Linked DNA regions of Macaca mulatta. The protein of the gene in region 1 purifies or fractionates together with the protein of each later gene. This does not show direct contact. Links are inferred from orthologs where the notes say so. Each region holds a gene or a part of one and is shown on either strand. Other genes may lie near its edges.

Region 1 (3,648 bases):
GGGCTCAGAATCTGCACAGGTTTGGGCCTTGCAGCTCTGGGCTGCTCTTCAGCCTGGAGTAGCTATCCCCAGGTGTGGGACAGAGGTCAAGGGCAAAGCGCAAGGCCTCAGGCTGTGTGTCTGCCTGTCCTGTCTGGTTGTTCCTGGTCTCTTCTTCATCTGTCCGCCTGTCTCTCTGGTCACCCTGTATGTGGAGCCCCTGGCCAGCCTGGGTTTGTCTGTGATGGGCCGGCGCACGCCTGTCTCGGTGAACTCGCATCTTTCTGCCTTGCTCCTGAGTGCATGTGTGTGTTCGCCTCCATTTCTCTGGCCAGCCCGTGTATCTGACTCCTGGCCTCTTCGGGCTTGTCTTCTCTTCCTGTGTTCTGAGTTCAGGGCTGTGGGTTCCAGATTCCTGGCTGTTTCCCAGTTAGCCCCATGTCTTCCTCTTTCTGACTCACCAGCAGCCCTGAGGTCCTTTCCCTGGAAGGGAGGAGTCAGATGTGTGCTGTGGGTTGGGGGAAGACTCCTGCCCATCCTGCGGCGTTGAGGCGGGTACTGGGATTCTCCTGAGGAGGATCCTTTTAGGTGAATCATTCTCCCCAGCTTTTCTGGCCTGCTCAGGTAGGCGATGGGCAAAGGCTTGGGGGTAGCAGCTGGCCTGGCCCTCCTCCCCTAGACTGAGACTATAGCCAGGCACTGCTGCCACTGTGGGTGTGGACAACCTGACTCCCTCCCCTCCATACCCAGGGCTTCTTCCGCCGCAGCATCCAGAAGAACATGGTGTACACGTGTCACCGGGACAAGAACTGCATCATCAACAAGGTGACCCGGAACCGCTGCCAGTACTGCCGACTGCAGAAGTGCTTCGAAGTGGGCATGTCCAAGGAGTGTGAGTGCCATGGGGCAAGAGCCGAGTCCCGCCTGAGCTGGGGCCTCAGGTGCTCCTAAAGACCAAGGGAGCAGGGCTCTGTGGATGTGTGTGCACATGCATGAACACGCATGCCGTGGTGTGCGGGCTCACGGTTGAGGATGGTTTGTGTGTAGCTGCAAGGACCTGTTTGCGAGTCTGGCTGGCTGTGTGTGCATGGGCAGGTCTGTGCTCCAGGACCGTGTGTGTGTAACTGTTCCTGTTTCTGCGCGTCTGGCTGTGTGTGCATGGGCAGGTCTGTGCTCCAGGACCGTGTGTGTGTAACCGTTCCTGTTTCTGCGCGTCTGGCTGTGTGTGCATGGGCAGGTCTGTGCTCCAGGACCGTGTGTGTGTAACCGTTCCTGTTTCTGCGCGTCTGGCTGTGTGTGCATGGGCAGGTCTGTGCTCCAGGACCGTGTGTGTGTAACCGTTCCTGTTTCTGCGCGTCTGGCTGTGTGTGCATGGGCAGGTCTGTGCTCCAGGACCGTGTGTAACTGTTCCTGTTTCTGTGCGTCTGGCTGTGTGTGCTTTTGCGCATGTGTGCATGTGTGTTTGCTCCAGGATGGCTTTCTTCCAGGCCTTGCTTGGCTTTGGGGTGGGGCTCAGAGGCATAGTTAGTCCCTTCTGATTGTGAGTCTTAGGGGAGGGGCTTGAATTCTGAGGGGTGCTTGGCTGGACTTACGTGTGTACGGGGGGGTGGAGGGGCTGGCACAAGGATCCAGAAGCCATTGTCTAGTTAAGCCTGGGATCCAGAGTTGGAAGAAAGAATTGGGACTTCTCAGATCCCAGAGGAAACGGGGTTTCCACTTTGGGCTCAGCTGAGGCCTGATGGAGGGAGGGAAGGAAAGGCTGGACAGGGAGACCCTCTTGTGTTGAATCATGGGTGTTGCCCTGGTGACCGGTGATTGATGATGTCAGAGATAAATGACGCTGACAGACGCCTCCTTGTCTGCGTGGCCGTTGCCATGGAGCCTGAGCCTTGGGGGATGGGATGGGGGAGGGGGCTGCAGGACCCCCAGCCCTTTGTGGGGAGGGTAGTGGGGAGGGGGCACGGGTGAGATGGTTCTGACTGTTGGACGAAGAGCCCCGGACAGGAAAGGAGGGGACTGGAGTGTCCTGCCACAGGAGGCTGGGGGTGCCTTGTCCTGAGCCCAGGAAGTGATGGGTCCTGCTGCAAGAGTGGGTGACAACTCGAGACCCACAAGCCTGGAACCCTTCACTTAAGGGCTGTCACCTCCTCTTCCCTCTGTTTGTGCCACCTTCTGCTCTTTTCATGGCAGAAGGACCAGGGTGGGGACCCCGTCTCCCTCCCACCAACTCCCCTTCTCCCTCCCACCGCCAACTCCCCCTCTCCCGGCTGCTCTGTGCCCCGGAGCTGAGCAGCTGCCATTTCAATAGAATTAAAGCTTCCGAATGATAAACGTCTTGTCACAGCTGCAATTTTCTCTTCCCAAATTATCCCCCCACTCTCCCTCTCCCTCTCCCTTCTCTCCCCTGCACTTTATTGAATTTGCAGAATCGACATGAGTGATCTCCAAATTATGCCAGCTACCCCCTCCTCGCTACCCCCTCCCTGAGCCCCTCCCCCACCCTCCCTTCCTCCCGCGTCAGCAGCCACCACCACCAGCCCTGTGAGTGATTGTGTGTCTGGGATAATCGGCTGGTAACGACCCCATCGCTTCTTTAAAGCCGAGTGGTGTGTGCGGCTCAGCGCCCCTGGTGATTTGTCAGCTCCCCAGCTAATGGGCCAAGAGATTCTCCCTGCCGGGCCCCCCACTCTCAGGCTGGGGAGCCCTACTCCCCACTTGTCCCAGGAGCTGCTCAGAGCCAGTCCCAAGGGACCCCCAGGGAGACTGCAGCTGGGAGGGCTGGGTGAGTGGAGGTGGGAGAAGGACCTTCCTGGGGAAAGAGGAGGCAGAGCACCGAGGAGGGAGACACCGGCGCCTGGAGTGTGAGCTGGAGTAGACGCGTGGGGGACAGCACTCGGCTGGCTGCGGGGGTGTGTGTGCAGGGCCACAGCTGTGCTCATAGGGCTTCTGGGGCCGAACTTGCTGTGTGGGTTGGGTGGGCATGGAGGGCTGGAGTGCGTGGCGATGCCTTGCCTGCCTGTGAATGCGTGCTGTGTGCGTGTGCTTACAAGCCGGGGTGACCTCCTCAGCAGCTGGCGGCTCTCTGTCAGGCTGGGGGTGGACGAGGCCCTAAGCAGCCTGCAGCTGCCCTCTAACCCCCTCTGCCCTCCACAGCTGTGAGAAATGACCGAAACAAGAAGAAGAAGGAGGTGCCCAAGCCCGAGTGCTCCGAGAGCTACACGCTGACGCCGGAGGTGGGGGAGCTCATTGAGAAGGTGCGCAAAGCGCACCAGGAAACCTTCCCTGCCCTCTGCCAGCTGGGCAAATACACTACGGTATGGCTTTCCCCTGGCCTGCAGGGAGGGATGTGCCCTGGGCCGCAGGGCCAGGACGGGCCCCTCTCAGACACCCCTTCTTGTGCCAGGCATTTCCTCCTCCCCCCTGGCTGGATCTCTTCGTCCTTCCCTTTCCCTCTCTTCTCCCTCCCGCTGCTGCCTCTTCCTAAGGAGCTCCCAGGAAGTGAAGGCTAGGTAGAGGGCAGGCCTGTGGGGGCTGGAGCCAGGCCGAGAAGGGGTGCCATAGAGAAGAAGGCCCTCACTCTCCCTCCTCCCCCAGAACAACAGCTCAGAACAACGTGTCTCTCTGGACATTGACCTCTGGGACAAGTTCAGTGAACTCTCCACCAAGTGC
Region 2 (3,648 bases), on another chromosome or scaffold:
CGTTTTGCTTCTAACTCACGGGGTTATTGTGAGGAAGCGAGAGAATGAGAAGCACCTCGCTCTGGAGTATGTGCTCCATGGCTGCTGGTGCCTGCTCCCTTTTCTTTTTGCTGGTAATGTTTCTGCTTAACATTTTTGTAAAGTATGTTAATGACTTTATCAGCATGGATAGTATGTATGTTTAACTTGAACATAGTTTTCAAAGATTAGAGATTCTAGCAAAATACTCCTGTAATTTAAAAACAGAATGAGAAAACACATACTTTGAGATAAAGTTGGAGCTTGTTTTCTGTGCTGTACAAACTTGTCACTTTTTTCTTTTTGCCTTTGGAAAGTTTCACATTAACAGCATGAGAACTTAAAAATACAGTTGATGTTGAAAGAGCTTAACTAAATATTTTAAATTGGTGGTATTGGAAAGAGATTCTGTAAAAATCCAATTAAACTTTTGAAAGCTCTCTCCTGTTGAAATATAACTTAAAGGAAGTCAGTTTGGTTTCCCAGAAGTACTGTGCATAGTGTTTCTGGCTGAGGAAGAAAGGCCCAAGTCTGCTGTTTGGCCAGAAATTGGGTACCAGCTTCCTCTACGATGTTTTACTTGAATGGTGTTGACACTTGAACAAATCCCATAGAAACTGCCCCAAGTGGGGGATAGTTGTCCTTACTTTTATGGTAAGACTTGGCCCCAGTAACTAACATTCCAGACACTGGTAGTATTCTTGGCTGAATAATCTATAGATGTGCATAAATTGAGAGCAAAACCCCAAATGTTTTAGAAACTTTAATGGCTACCGTATTTCAAGCAATCAGTAAAGTAAACTTTAAAAAATACTGGTGCAGTTTATTGCTTCATAGCCAATAAAAATAGTGAACAAAAAGAGTCTAGTGTCCCTTGTTTCTTACATAAACTCTGAAAATTCAGTTCTGCTATTTAATTATTAAATTCAAAAGACTAGAATGATTTCTTTTAAAATTGGGAGCACTATAGGAATTTTTTTCCTTGTCTCAGACATCAGAAATAGCTTTTTCTTTCCATTAAATGACAGTAAAGGCCGGGCGCGGTGGCTCAAGCCTGTAATCCCAGCACTTTGGGAGGCCGAGACGGGTGGATCACGAGGTCAGGAGATCGAGACCATCCTGGCTAACACAGTGAAACCCCGTCTCTACTAAAAATACAAAAAACTAGCCGGGCGAGGTGGCGGGTGTCTGTAGTCCCAGCTACTCAGGAGGCTGAGGCAGGAGAATGGCTTAAACCCGGGAGGCAGAGTTTGCAGTGAGCTGAGATCCGGCCACTGCACTCCAGCCTGGGCGACAGAGCGAGACTCCGTCTCAAAAAAAATAAATAAATAAATAAATAAAAAAAATAAAAATAAATGACAGTAAAGTATTTAACCAATATGTTTGTTTCTGTGGTTTATTTTTCACAGGGAACAAAAACTAATAGTACTGTGCAAAATTATTTTTTGTGATGATTTACATCCATAAATGTGATATCTATATTTACTACTGGTGTTAAAATATTTTTATATATCAAATATTTTATGTGATTGTAAGTGCAAGAACGTGATCTATACTTTGTTTCATAAAAGGCTTGAATGTCTTAGGTTAAATTTCTGGTTCGAATTTCCTATGAGGGGAGGAAAAATTCTAGAATTGAGATGTGCGTTTTTAAAGTGGATTGATAGGAATCAGAAAGGGAATTAAAACCAAAACTGTCTGAGTCAGAGGCAGAGGAGAGAAGAGAGGAAGTATGGCACAGCAGTTCCATACCATGGGAAATGCAGGTGAAATCTGAAGGGAAGGAAATTGGGACCACTTTCATGTGGTCTGTTTTGGCACTTTCTTCTTTGTCCCTATGGGATTTTGTCTGAGAGTCAGAGTGGTTATCAGGACAACGAAAATATTAACCACAAATTGTAGAAATCTCAGTTGATGAGGACAGGGTCTTTTAAAGTTTAGACTGACTTAGTTAATCCTACAACTTCCTGAACATGATACTGCTAAATTAGGCAGAAAGGTTGTGCAGTTTCTGTTTCGTCAGAACTAAACAAGTGTTCAAAGCAACTCTGAGGTTGCTCCCTCTCAGAAGAAAAGATTTTTGTAAGAGAGTTTAAGAGGTAAAAAGGTATCTGTATAAAACTCAGCAGTAAGCCAATAATACTTTAATGTACAAATTTATCTCACAAATTCTTATCAAAAAATAAAATTCATAGAAAATCATAAAATCATAAATGTAGGAACTGCTAGTTAATGCTCACTGAAAGAACGTTTTGGTATTTATTCCTACTGGAATACCTGATCTCCAGTAGGATTCATTCACCAACAGTGAATTAAGACTACATTATGAATATTTAGTAGTTTTGAAAGTTAAACAGCTGGCAAACTTTGGAGAGCATTAGGAATAATATACATTACAGGATGGGAGGGAGGAACATACCAACTCACTACTCAAGGGAAGAGAACTGTGGACGAATGGAATGGGTAGGTTGAACAATTTCAGACTTTTAGAGGTATATTACACATGTAAGCTCCATGAGGCCAGCCATTTTTATTTTGTTAACCGTTGTATCGCAAGTATTTGGGACAGTTCCTGGCCTATAATTGATGCTTGGCGAATTGTTTATAGAATGAATTTTGGGCGCAACACTTGACAAAGGAAAACTAAATACAAGTCAACAAATGTCACAGTTGTTACAGTTGTTTCATGGTCTAACCTTTTTACCAATGTGAAGTTATCAGTACCAGAGTGTTTTGCTTCAGTCTGCAAAAAGAGGGTGTGAAGATGTGTGTGAATCTCAAAAAGTGAATGCCCTAATAGTCCATTTTGGAGGCCATGTGTTCAAGTGAACTGATTTATGAGCTGCAAGCTTCAACCTGGCTAATTTAGAAACATCTAATACCAGTTTCTGGTTAAGCAATTGTGGTACATGAAATTCATTGTATAGGTGATTCGTGCAACAGCTTCTGAATTTTTTCCTCCCTCATCCACCTTACAGCCATTAGTCCTATAATAATTTAATTTGGGTTTGTTGGTATAGAAACTGTATTTGCACAATAATGATAAAGCCACTCAGGCTCATCTAGTCATTTCCTGGATTTATGTGTGTAGGAGTACATAAAAATAAGGGCACTGAATCATTTCGCATTTGCCTAAAATTGCTTTTCTTCAGTTGTTCAAAGGTACACAAAATGCTTTTTTCTTTATAAGGTAAAAAATACTTGGAGGTTATAAGAAATAACTAGCTTACTTTGAGTGGCTTTGATATGTATTTACTCATAATGGAATTCATGAGCTTTCCTTCCTTCGCTTGGCCAAGATTTTTTTTCTTTGAAATTCCTTCTCCAGTGTTATCTAGGATGTTTGCATTACAAGCAGGCCGCCTCACCTCCTTTGTTCGTTGTCACAGGTGAAAAGCCATACAAGTGCACCTGGGAAGGCTGCGACTGGAGGTTCGCGCGATCGGATGAGCTGACCCGCCACTACCGGAAGCACACAGGCGCCAAGCCCTTCCAGTGCGGGGTGTGCAACCGCAGTTTCTCGCGCTCCGACCACCTGGCCCTGCACATGAAGAGGCACCAGAACTGAGCGCTGCCCATGCCACCCGACCCGTTCCAGGTCCCCGGGCTCCCTTTCAAACAACAAACCTA

What was found. The genes of interacting proteins can lie anywhere in the genome.
Region 2: the proteins of RARA (region 1) and KLF5 purify together in Homo sapiens (affinity purification with western blotting; 4 studies listed by BioGRID). This does not show direct contact. The link is inferred for Macaca mulatta from reciprocal best matches to the Homo sapiens genes RARA and KLF5.

What each region holds. Positions count from the first base shown.
Region 1 is NC_133421.1:64,733,474-64,737,121, forward strand, and holds part of RARA (retinoic acid receptor alpha), read left to right. Parts: intron 1-729; coding exon 730-871; intron 872-3,132; coding exon 3,133-3,293; intron 3,294-3,573; coding exon 3,574-3,648. UniProt on the Homo sapiens protein: Receptor for retinoic acid. Retinoic acid receptors bind as heterodimers to their target response elements in response to their ligands, all-trans or 9-cis retinoic acid, and regulate gene expression in various biological processes.
Region 2 is NC_133422.1:67,839,700-67,843,347, forward strand, and holds part of KLF5 (Krueppel-like factor 5), read left to right. Parts: intron 1-3,407; coding exon 3,408-3,586; 3' UTR 3,587-3,648. UniProt on the Homo sapiens protein: Transcription factor that binds to GC box promoter elements. Activates the transcription of these genes.